Linked DNA regions of Callithrix jacchus. The protein of the gene in region 3 purifies or fractionates together with the protein of the main gene of each other region. This does not show direct contact. Links are inferred from orthologs where the notes say so. Each region holds a gene or a part of one and is shown on either strand. Other genes may lie near its edges.

Region 1 (3,567 bases), on a different chromosome or scaffold from region 3:
GAAGCAGGTTGATTTAATTCAATCTGAGTTATAGTGTAAGTGTGAGTAGCTTTAAAAGGATCCTTTGTGAAACACATCACCTTGTCAACTACAGCACTCGACAGGCGCAGTGCAACGTAAAACTTCCATGAGCATTTATGACTGGCATCAGTTTTTTGCATGTGCTGACCTCTGTTAGTGCTTTTAGTATTTTTTGTTTTGTCTTTTAGATATAGGGTCATGAACTGGGTATGGTCCCAGCACTGCGGGTATGGGTATGTTGCTTGAGACCAGAAATTTGATTTATACCTTTTTTTTTTTTTCCCTGAGATGGAATCTCGCCCTATCGCCCAGGCTGGATTGCAGTGGCGTGATCTCAGCTCACTGCAACCTCTGCCTGCCAGGTTCAAACAATTCTCCTGCCTCAATCTCCCGAGCAGCGGAGTTTTAGATTCAATTGTCTGAATTTAACCAGGTGCCTGTCACTGCACCCGGCTAATTTTTGTATTTTTAGTAGAGGTGGGGTTTCACCATGTTGGCCAGGCTGGCCTTGAACTCCTGACCTCAAGTGATCCACCCACCTCAGCCTCCCAAAGTGCTGGGATTACAGGCATGAGCCACTGCACCCAGCCAAGCCCAGGAATTTGAGACCAGCATGAGCAATATGGGGAAACCCGGTCTCTACAAAAAATATAAAAATTAGCCAAGCATGGTGGCATGCACATTTAGTCCCAGCTCCCTGGGGGACTAAGGCAGGAGGATCCCTTAACCCCAGGAGAGTTGGAGGATGCAGTGAGCTGAGATTGCGCCACTGCACTCCAGCCAGGGTGACCAAAAAAAAAAAAAAGAAAGAAAGAAAGAAAGAAACAGGGTCATGCTCTGTTGCCCAGGTTGGAGTGCAGTGTGCAGCGGATCATAGTTCACTGTAGCCTCGACCCCTGGGCTCAAGTAATCTTCCTGCTTCAGCCTCTCGAGTAGCTGGGAATATAGGCACATACCACCATGTCCACTCAATTTATTTTATTAGAGATAGAGTCTTGATATGTTGTCCAGGCTGCTAACTCCTGGCCTCAAGTGATCCTCCCACTTTGGTCTCTCAAAGCCCTAGGATTATAGGCATGAGTCACACCTGGCTGGTGCTTTAGGTATTTAACCAAATACCTTCTACTGAGTCCTGTGGTTTAGAGGTAACTTTGTTTTTTGGGTTTTTGTTTTCTTTTTCAAACAGTCTTGCTCTGTCACCCAGGCTGGAGTACAGTGGCAAAATCTCAGCTCATTGCAACATACACCTCCTTGGTTCAAGTGATTCTTGTGCCTCAGCCTCTGAAGTAGCTGGGATCACAGGTGTGCACCACCACGCCTGGCTAATTTTTGTATTTTTATTAGAGACAGTGTTTTGTCATATTGCCCAGGCTGGTCTGGAATTCCTGGGCTCAAGTAATCCACCTGTCTTGGCCTCCTGAAGTGCTGGGATTATAGGCATGAGCTACCATGCCCTGCCTAGAGGTAATTTTGTAATCAAGGCTGAACTGATTCAAAACCAACAGCCCTAGAATCTGCAGCTTGTCAAATTTATTTGCCTTCTGTTCCAACCTCACCAAGATACCTTCAGCCTACAGCAGTTCTCAAGCAGGGGCAATTTTGCTCCCCTGTCCCCAAGAGACATCTAGAAATGTTTAGAGATAATTTTGATTGACACAACTTGGGGGGTGCTGCTAAATATCCTCATTGGGCTCCACAGCTCTCCAAAACAAAGACCCATCTGGCCCCAAATGTCAACAGTGCCGAGGCTGAGAAAGCCTGGCCTAGAGTGATATGCTCATTACCTCATGGGAAGGTCAGAGACTAACGTGATCCAGGTATGACCTTAAGCAAAGACCACCTTGGGGTGGGTCCCACAGGGCAGGCTAAGCCCTGGGCAGTGGCTGTTACATTAGGTAGTCATGTTAAAGTCACAGTTCCCAAATTCCCCAGAGAACAAGAGGTGTTACCATTCTCTCATGACACTACCTGGGATATCCCAGCAATTCTCTAGCTAAAATCCTCTGGTCTGGCCATGGCAGCTGCCTCTTCAAACTCCTCTGCCGCCAGAACGCAAGTTCCCAAAGAACACATCAATGCTTTGGGTTGCCTTGCGGCTCATAAAGCAATCAGATAAGTATCTGCTCACTTCCTATCTCCAACAATTTTATGAAGGAGTAACTAACATGATCCTCATTTCAACAAGAAGGAAGCCAAGGCTCCAGAGGTCACATGGCTCACCCAATGTCCAGCAGCTCCGGCAGAACATAGTTCTGAGAAGAGGCAGCCAGTTCTGTCTCTAAACTTTTGCACTTTCTTCTGCTCTACAAAGGAAAATCTCTACAGATTAAAAAAAAAATGACTGAACGTTGTGGCACCTGACTGGGCCAGCACTATGTCCGACCCCACTCGGGGTGGCAGCGAGGGGTACTCCAGAGGTATTGCCGTCCACAGCTCACCCAGAGGCACTGGTGGCCCAGGACCTGTGAAGTTTCCCTCAAGACGATCTCTGCCAGCTGACCCCAACATGACCCACCTCGGCCTGTCCTCTCCCTACAGAAAGAGCTGAGTAGGACAGTTTTCAGCTCCTTCAGTGAATGGGTGTGGTCAGCTCTGGGAGCTTCGCTGATAAACAATTCCTCTGTAGGAAGCAGAGCCCAGCGGTAGAGGCTGTGCATCTTTACCCCGACTGTCTTCAAGGCCAATTCCAGGGCTTCCTACTTCCTACCCAGACCAAGCTGCAGTCTCCTTTCCTTGGCCTCCGCATTTTCCTGAGGACTCCTAAAAAGAACTGGTGCTTAACAGGAAATACTCGTTTGTACACCTGGGGACAGTACATTCTACAACTAAGGTGAGGGAATGGTACAGCTTAAAGGTATACACACATTTCTGACTTTCAGGACAGGTTCCCATGACTCCTGAGCAGCCTGGCCAGACCAGGCCAACTCTCCCTTCATAAAGTGGGAGTGCAATCCCTCAGCTTGGAGCGGCCTCCCTTGCGGTTACCTGAGGTCCTGTCCTCCAGCTTGATGTAGGCCATCTGCCCCTTTGCAGTGATCCTCAGCCGGCCACTCCATGACGGCTGGTCCAGCTGCCACTCCGCGGCCCTGAAGAGACAAACACCACTGAACCTCTGCCAGAGGCTCCTGCTTCATGACCCCAATGCTGAGGATGGAAAGGGCTACTTGTTCTAGCCCAAGGGTTGGCAGACATTTTCTGTAAAGGGTCAGACAGTAAATATCTTTGGCTTTTCAGGCAACACAGCCTGCCACAAGGCATCTCTGCTGTAAAAGCAATATGGTACATGCACATGTTGATGCTTTAGGTATCTTGAATGAATATTTTCTACTGAGCACAGCTGTATTTCAATCAAATTGTAGACACTGAAACCTGAAATTCATATAATGTTCTCAGTTTGAAATATTCTCCTTTAAAAATTTTCCAAACCATTGAAAAAATATAAAAACCATTCTTAGGTATGAGCCATACAAAAACACAGTAGGTTGTCGATGGAGGACCCATTCTCTAGACCAGAGTCCTCCTCCGGATAGGACTTCCTTCCGGTTT
Region 2 (4,326 bases), on a different chromosome or scaffold from region 3:
AATATATTAAATAAGGTGTGTTTAAACTGCAATACACACAAAACAAGGTTGTATGTTAATGAGCTGACAAAAATGTTGAGAACAGAGGCTCTCAAGAACCTAACACTGTAGTAGGAGCAACGGTTCAAGATTTGCTAATTCAGTTTTCACAGTGACTTTCTGGAACATAACTAATTATATACAAATAACAAGAGAAAGAGAGACACAGACTGACTTACTGAAAAGATACTACAGAGGTCATTATGAGTAAGCTACCAATGTTTGTAGGAGCATGGCAAAAACACTTCAGGGCACAGAATCTGTTAGGTCTTCCTGGCTCTGTTTAAACAACTTAGGCCAAAGCAAAAAAATGCAAAATCTACCAAGTTTGTGTTTCGGGTTGTCTTAGCTTCTACCACTTTTCCTACTCAATGGTAAGCCTCTCCCCAAATCAAGTACTCTAAACTTTAATGCATTTTCACAAGCATTTGGCCCAATTTTACAATCAAGCACACCCATCAACTATTGATTAATCACACTTAAATGTGAACTAGACTTGTGCTTAAACATCTTGGCTAAATTGCAGCATTATTTATTTGGAAGGGAGAGGGGATATTAAGCAACTGAAATAAGAACAGACCAGCCAGGATCAAAAAGTAAACTGATTATACATAGACAATTCCAGTTGTGAGTGTGCTGGAGAGAGAACAAAAATACACAAGGGAAGAAAACCTAGGCTTTGGCCTCCCCTCCAGGATATTAAAGCTGGGGTATAGGATGGAGAAGTCCCATCTTCCAAAAGGATTTCTTCAGCCCTTGCATCCTCCTAGCACTTGACTATTGATTTTTCAAGAGAAATGATGAATTTATGGTAAAACTCAATATGGAACACTCTAACAGTGACATTAGCGCTTGAAACAAATTTTCATTCTTTGCTGTGGTTGAATCAACTCTCCTTTTGAAATTCATCTTTATTTTTTATTTTCCAAAGTTTTTTTTTAATTGAAAATGGTTTGCTTAGGGTAGTGATAGGATATGCTTAGGGTAGTGAGTGATACAAATTCAAAATCTAGTTTGTGAAATGTCAATATATATATTTTTTCTATTAAAAAGACCCATCTGGGATTTAGTGGAATGAAGTGAGCGTTAACACTACCCAAGCTACACTTCAATTAGTTACTAAAACAATTCAAAGACAATATATGACATTTGACTTAATAGACATGTGTTCTTAACACCTAAAACATATTGTAAACCAACAATTGAAATTCATGTGTAATAAAGAGCTAGAAAACTTTATAGTATAGTAAATCTTTTATAGACCACTCACCACATATTCATTCTTGTGAAAAACTAAGGATCCTCCTTCTCCCACCTCTCTAAGTTTCGGCTAAGATCATTATTCTGAGCAATGATATGTACACCTGAATAATTCACAATTTCTTTCTCTTTCGAATACTTTATACAAAAATCTTCAGGTTTTTCTCTTGTGCTAATTTACCGTTGTTCACAGCATTTCAAAAAATACGAGTGGAACTTCAATCTACTCTTTTCAAACCACATCAACGTCTCTCAGAGAACTGAATCCACTCTTCGATTTCTTTTATCTTAACCATAGAACTTACAAGGGCCATTTATCAACAAAATGTATTTCTTAAGAATTTTTTAAGGTTTTTATTTTTTAATATCATTTTGCAATTAAAAACTCACAGACCAATGAAGCATGCAGTACACAGGGAAAGTGTTTTCTACAAGGCAATTATACCAGAAATACAACACTAAAGTCTAAGTTCTTCTTTTAATATGGAATATTAAAAGAAATAAATTTTTCTTTTAATATGGAGTATTAAAATAAATTCTTTTTGTAAGTAGACTTCTGCCTACCGTCATAACCTGCTCCAGATCCTGAAGAACCGACCGCAAAACTTCACAAGTGAAAATTAACCTGCTTTCATATCACCTTTTAAACCACTATCAAAGTCATATTGAGAGGGCATGAATTACACCTTGTCCAACAGAGAAGATTCTAAATAACAAAGATAAATGGGCTTCAAATTTACCTGTTTCCCAGTGCAACCTACTAACTGAATTTAAAGGATCACCTCCAACATGCACACATGCACACATATACACTGTTTTTCAACAGATGGCTGAGCTGCAGCAAACCCGGGATCGACAACAGGGGCTTTAGGGTCCTATGCCCTGCAGCGCGGGTGGAGGCTCGGACGAAGAGGCCAACGCATGACACCCGTCTGAGCCACAGCTGGCAGAACAGAGCTTCAATCCTGTTTGATCTGACCCTCTAATGAGTCACTGTCCCAATCATAACACCACCCCACTTCCTAGCGCGTCTTCTATCTATTTTCTCGCGTCAAAACGGATAGAAATTGACTTAAACTCGGCATGAGAGAACTAAACTCGGCATGAGAGAACTGTGCACCGGCCAGAGCTGCCAGCGGCAAGAAAAGCCAGCTGAAAAGAGAAAGCCCGAGCCACTCTTTTAAGAGCCCCGCTGGCCCGGCAGCGGAGGAAGAACGGCGTACAAGAGTCAGTGCAGAGGGCGAAGACCCGGAGAAGCCGCCGCCACACCCCAGCCCTCCCTCACCTGCCTGTCCAAGCCTCCCCGGGCACCCGTACCTTCGGCCAGCGACTCTTCCAGGGTGACCTGGTAGCGGCCGACCGCGAACACCCGGACCCCCACGGACGAGCCGCCGGAGCCACAGCTGGTCACAGCGCCGCCAGCCCCGCCACCCGCCGCTCCGCCGCCGCTGCCGCCCTCCGACTTGGGCATCCGAGAGAACTTCTTCATGGTCCCGCCCGCGCGGGGAGCGCGCAAGGGCGACCAAGAGCGCGAGTCCCCAGCCCAGCGCGCAGCCGGGCGTCAGGGAGGGGTCGCCGCCCCGAGCCGGTCCGAGCGTCCGAGCGCGTTGCGGCCCGCCAAGCCTCACATTCCGTGCTCCCCGAGCGCACAGCCCCGGCCCCGGTCGCCCGCTCCGCGGCTCGGCTGCAGCTGCCAGGCTCCCGCAGACGGCGGTGGAGAGGGCGGGGACGGGACGGGACGGGGCGGGGCGGGGCACGAGGGGGCGGGTCCGAGTGCAGAGGCAATGCCGCCGCCTCCGCTAGTGCCCTGGGCGTCCCCGCTGCCTCACTCTGCGCCTGAAGCGCGCGAGCCCGGGTGGAGGGAGGGAGCAAGGGAGACGGGGAAGGGGGCGGGGCGGCCGGCCTCTCCAGGCAGGAGGCTGGACGTCTCAGGCCGCAAGCTGGCAGGACCGCAGCCCGCCGCACCGCCGCTGCCCCCGTCAGACCCGAGTCGCCCGCCACTCGCGGCCGTTGACGGGGCAGCGCTGCCGCCAACCGCTCACTGAGGCTGGTCGCCCAGCGCAGGCGCGCTGCCCGCGCCGCCGGAAGTGACGGTTCCGCCTCTTGTCACGTGGAGGGGGACCACGGGAGGTGATTGTGGGGGTTGGGGACGAGGGCAAAGTCGGGGATCCTGGGTCCAGGGTTGCGCCGGGAGGGTACTGGCTAGGCCCGGCTTCGGCCTGGGAGGTGGCCCAGGGACTGGCTCCTAGTCCAGCGCCCTGATCCATCATCTCGCCTGAGAGTCGCTATGTCACTCTCGGGGCTTAAAAATGCCGCCAACAACTTTACCTCTGCTAAGGAACTTCTCGCTTCCTTTCTTAGCCAGTTGTTCAGGCCTTCTCCCCTGAGAACCTTCTTCCGCTCGCCCACCCTGACGTGGGAGGTGGGAGCAGGACGGAACTGGAGTGGATTCCAGTAACTGGGTTTCTAAAGCCGACTCGGTGTTGTCGCGCTCTGTAGCGGACGCTTGTGCTGGGAAGCGTTTTGCAGTTTATAAATTACTTAGGAGTACTTTAAACACCTCACGCCTGCTGTACAACAGCCATATGTGGGTATTCAGAGCAGGTATTAAGGCCGTTTCATAGACCATCACCTTTGGCTAAAAGAACGGAGTCTCCCAAAGTCACAGCTGGTACGTGGTAGTTAGGGACCATTATTTGATTCATAATTTTGTGCTTCTGGCCGTCCTGAAAAAGTAGGTTAGGGTCAGATCGTCGAAAAATGGGCAGATATAGGGCTGTTTGGAAGCAAAAGCAACCACTGTGTCCCCTTCTTGAAGAGATTCGCCTCCCCCCAACCAAAAATAAAAAAGCCTCGTTGCATCAGTTTCATAAACCGCAGGAGTCTCCTGACTGCAGGGCGAAGCAGTAAAACAAATACGGGTGTAAAACGTTTCAGGATTGGTAGGTAATAACAAACTGTAGGACATGTGTAAAGAGAGCAGCCAGTTCTCAGCTGCAGCCTACTTTTCCACAAAAGAAGATAGCA
Region 3 (4,235 bases):
ATGTGAATGCTGTGAGGGTGGGGGCAGTGCCTACTCTCTTGCTGAAAATGCATTCCTTCATTCAACAAATGTTTTTTCTTTTTCTTTCTTTTTTTTTTTTGAGATGGAGTCTTGCTCTTTTGCCCAGGCTGGAGTATAGTGGCACGATCTCGGCTCACTGCAACCTCTGCTCCCGGGTTCAAGAGATTCTCCTGCCTTAGCCTTCCAAGTAACTGGGATTACAGGTGTGCACCACCACGCCCAGCTAATTTTTGTAATTTTAGCAGAGAAGGGGTTTCACCATATTGGCCAGGTCGGTCTTGAACTCCTGACCTCGTGATCCACCCACCTCAGCCACCCAAAGTGCTGGGACTACAGGCATGAACCACCTCACCCAGCCCATTCAACAAATACTTATTGGCCACCACACTTGTGCCCAGTATTAAGTTGAGCACTGGAGATTAGGACTGGGACTAAGGGGAAGCAAGTGACGTGTTCAGGGCACAAAATAGAATGAGGCATGTACTCTCAGTCCTGTTTAAGAGAGGAATTGGCATGGAAGAGTGAGGTCCTTTCAGAAACTTTGCAACCTGGACACTTTGCTTAATGTCATCCTAGTATCAGCCCTGTTGGAGACGGAAAAGCACACAAGACAGAAATGATCTCTGGCTTCTTTTTGCCCCTGCAATATCTCATAACTATGTGTTGGTTATTCTGCCACCATATCTGAAATTTACATAATAATAATTATTATTTTTTGAGACGAAGTAGAGATGGGGTTTCACCATGCTGGCCAGGCAACTCCTGACCTCATGATCTGCCTCCCAAAGTGCTGGGATTACAGGCGTGAGCCCCCGGGCCCGGTCGGTCCAAATTCATGCTCTTAAACTGTTGTCTCCCGAGAGACACACGCAACATATTTTAAGCAAAGCACTGACCTGGTGTGGTGGTGGCTCATGTTTGTAATTCCCGTGATTTGGGAGGCTGAGTGTGGCTTGAAGCCAGGAGTTCGAGATTAACCTAGGCAATATATCTAGATCCCTGTTTTTATTTTTTTAAAAATTATAGAAAGCACTGGATGAGGAATGGAAAGATTTTCTAGCTCCCCAGAACAGTTTTAAAAATTTTAAAACTACTATTCCCAGCATGCCCTTCTCCCCTGGGTGGAGGGTGGGGCCTAGTAGAACTACATTTCCTCGAATGCAACGCCTGCACCGCTGGCTGTTTAGTATCTCGGGAATTGTAGTCCTATATAAAGATGTTGGTCCACAAATCCCAGCATGCACCTGTGATCCTACTCGTTTGGTAGGAAAAGGACGGGCTCTTGCCTCTTCACCCATCTTCACCCAGGCTGGCCCCATTGGTGAAACTACAATTCCCAGCGGTCTGTGCGCGAGAGGGCAGGCGGGTTTTTCTGCCGGAAGTCCGCTCTAGCTCAGGGCCCCCCAACTGCACCCTGAGCCGGAGCTGCCCAGTCGCCGCGGGAACGGGGCCGCTGGGGTCCGGACGGGGGTAGCCATGGTAACGGGGGCGCTCTACGCCGGGGACTGGCGGAGGGAAATGCACATGTAAATAGCCGAGGCTCGATCGGGCGCTGACAAGCCCCTCCTCTGCCGCGGATGGTCTGGGCCGGACGCGGGCTCTGGGGATTGGGGCCGATCCAGGGCCGGGAAGGAGGACACAGGGCGGGGATTCTCTGCGTGGGGGTCACCAGGGGTCTCGCGGGGAGGGGCATTGGGGGTGCGGTTCCAAAGGGAAAGGGCTGTGCAGGTGGGAGACATCGTAGATGGTTGGGAGCTTTGAAACGGGAGGAAACTCGCAAGGCACGGTCTTGGGGGTTGCGAGAAGGCATTGGAGGTGGGGAGGAGGCTTCCCAAAAAGGAAGGCGCTCTGGGAGTGTGGTGGGAGCGCTGGACAAGAACGGGGACCTTGGAACAGGGAAGGGAGGTTTTCTTGGTGTGAGGAGTCTCTAGAGACAAGGATTCGATTGCAGGTGGAGAGGGGATGTTGAACCAGGGTCAGGAGACTGCCTATGAGAGAGGGTTCATCTCAAGGAGAAGAGACCCGGCACAGGAAGCCAGAAGTAGGCAACTGTAGGGAGTGAGACTTAAGGGTCAGGGAAAGCGCTGTACAAGAAGTGAGGGCCTGGAGGTAAGATGAACACTAGGAATGAATGGGGAGCAGCTGAATAGATGTTGAATAGCAATTGAATAGGTCTTTCCAAGAGGAGAGATCTTGAGGGGTGGGGAATAGGCTTGGAAGTGTGAGATCTGGGGAGGGATCTTTGTTGGGGCAAAGACTGGACATTGAATTTCGGAGTGTCCCTGACACCCAGGCTGGGGCTTTGGATCTAGAAAAGGGTTGTTTGGGCCGGAAGTTTGGAAAGGGTGTCAGAGCCGGGAGCGGAGTCTCCTCCAGGAACAGGGTCCTTGGAGGCAAAATATGACCTTTTGAAGAAGGGAGGAGACCTGGGAATGGAACAAGGCATGTCACCAATTAAAAAGCCCACTGAGGCCCCAAGGAGGGGAACTGAGACTGGGAAAGTGGAGGTCAAAAGGGAACAACTCCAGAGGAGGAGGATTGGAGACAAGGAAGGTTGGGGGGCATCTAGAGGGAACAGCAGAGGCTCGAGGATGCAGGGATTCAGGACAGAGGGGACTTCTCAGGGTAGAGTCCTTGAGGAGGAGAGATTCCAGGTGGGAAGAAAACAGGAAGAAGTATACCAGGGAGTTTGGGAGTAAGAGGCAGAGTGTTTTGTCAACTCTGTGGGTTTGCCTCTAGTTCCCCTTCTTCTGTGTTCATGTCTCTGGCTCTGCTTCTAGGCTGTAGCTACCTTGTGTGGGTCCTAAAACGTCCCTTCCTGCCCGGGACCCTTGCACTGCTAGGAAGTGGTTTTCTCTGGCTCAGCAGAAGGAGTTCTTGGAAGAAGAGTGTAATATCCTGTTCCTGTCCAGTTTGGTTGGTTGGGGGAGGGAGGATAGAGTGTGTGGAGAAAAAGAGTGAATTCTCTTTCCTAAGAGAAGACTCTCAACCTTGGGCGGTGACTCATGCCTGTAATCCCAGCACTTTGGGAGGCCAAGATAGGTGGGTCACAGGAGGTCAGGAGTTCAAGACCAGCCTGGCCAACATGGTGAAACCCCATCTCTACTAAAAATACAAAAATTAGCCAGGCGTGGTGGTGGACGTCTGTAATCCCAGCTACTTGGGAGGCTGAGGCAGAAGAATCGCTTGAACCCGGGTGGTGGAGGCTGCAGTGAGCTGAGACCGTGCCACTGCACTCCAGCCTAGGTAACAGAGTGAGACTCTGACCACCCCCCCCTCCCCAACACACACACAAAAGGACAGGACAAGAGGATTCTCTTTCCTAAGAGAAGAGGCTCCCACAAGTTCGGTCAGGGGTTCAGAGCAAAGCCTTTGGACTCCCACCTCTGCTTTCTGGCTGTGAGACTTCCTTTCCCTGAATCTCAGTTTCCTCATCTATAAAATGGGCGTAAGCATGCCTGTCTCAGACAGAAGTGGGCCCAGAGCTTCCAGCAGGGTAAGCTTGGCCCCTGGTTTTCTGAAAATCACATAATGAAACGTGATGCTGCTAAGAGCTGGTACTTTTTTTTTTTTTTTTGAGAGGGAGCCTCGCTTTGTCATCCATGCTGGAGTACAGTGGCGCGATCTTGGCTCACTGTAACCTCCGCCTCCTGGGTTCAAGCGATTCTCCTGCCTTCGCCTCCCAAGTAGCTGGGATTACAGGCATGTGCCACCACACCCAGCCAAATTTTTTCTTTCTTTTTTTTTTTTTTTTTTTTTTTTTTTGTATTTTTAGTAGAGACAGGGTTTCGCCCTGTTGGCCAGGCTGGTCTCGAACTCCTGATCTCAGGGATCCACCTGCCTCAGCCTCCTAAAATGCTAGGATTACCGGTGTGAGCCACCACACCTGGCCCAAGAGCTGGTACTTATTTTTTTTGTTTAATTTTAAATAAAGATAAAGATGGGGTTTCACCATATTGGCCAGGCTGGTCTCAAACTCCTGACCTCAGGTGATCCGCCCGCCTCAGCCTCCCAAAGTGCTGGTTACAGGTGTGAGCCACTGCGCCCAGCTGAGCTGGTACTTATCTAACACTTTGTACTAGTCACTGTACTACACCTCTATTCTTTTTTTTTTTTTTTTTTGAGACAGTCTAGTTCTTTCACCCAGGCTGGAGTGCAGTGGTGCCATCTCAGCTTACTACACCCTCTGCCTCCTGGATTGAAGCAATTCTCCT

What was found.
Region 1: the proteins of AP2S1 (region 3) and NECAP2 purify together in Homo sapiens (affinity purification with mass spectrometry; 3 studies listed by BioGRID and IntAct, counting the BioPlex papers as one, with this or other methods). This does not show direct contact. The link is inferred for Callithrix jacchus from reciprocal best matches to the Homo sapiens genes AP2S1 and NECAP2.
Region 2: the proteins of AP2S1 (region 3) and BMP2K purify together in Homo sapiens (affinity purification with mass spectrometry; 4 studies listed by BioGRID and IntAct, counting the BioPlex papers as one, with this or other methods). This does not show direct contact. The link is inferred for Callithrix jacchus from reciprocal best matches to the Homo sapiens genes AP2S1 and BMP2K.

What each region holds. Positions count from the first base shown.
Region 1 is NC_133508.1:53,756,633-53,760,199, reverse strand, and holds part of NECAP2 (adaptin ear-binding coat-associated protein 2), read right to left. Parts: intron 3,108-3,567; coding exon 3,007-3,107; intron 1-3,006. UniProt on the Homo sapiens protein: Involved in endocytosis.
Region 2 is NC_133504.1:119,219,087-119,223,412, forward strand, and holds the start of BMP2K (BMP-2-inducible protein kinase), read right to left. Parts: upstream 2,789-4,326; coding exon 2,617-2,788; exon of another isoform or gene 2,300-2,616; intron 1-2,299. Other genes in the region: uncharacterized protein LOC128931603, read left to right, coding at 2,787-3,344. UniProt on the Homo sapiens protein: May be involved in osteoblast differentiation.
Region 3 is NC_133523.1:40,819,959-40,824,193, reverse strand, and holds the start of AP2S1 (AP-2 complex subunit sigma), read left to right. Parts: upstream 1-1,416; 5' UTR 1,417-1,497; coding exon of another isoform or gene 1,498-1,500; 5' UTR 1,501-2,779; coding exon 2,780-2,911; intron 2,912-4,235. UniProt on the Homo sapiens protein: Component of the adaptor protein complex 2 (AP-2). Adaptor protein complexes function in protein transport via transport vesicles in different membrane traffic pathways.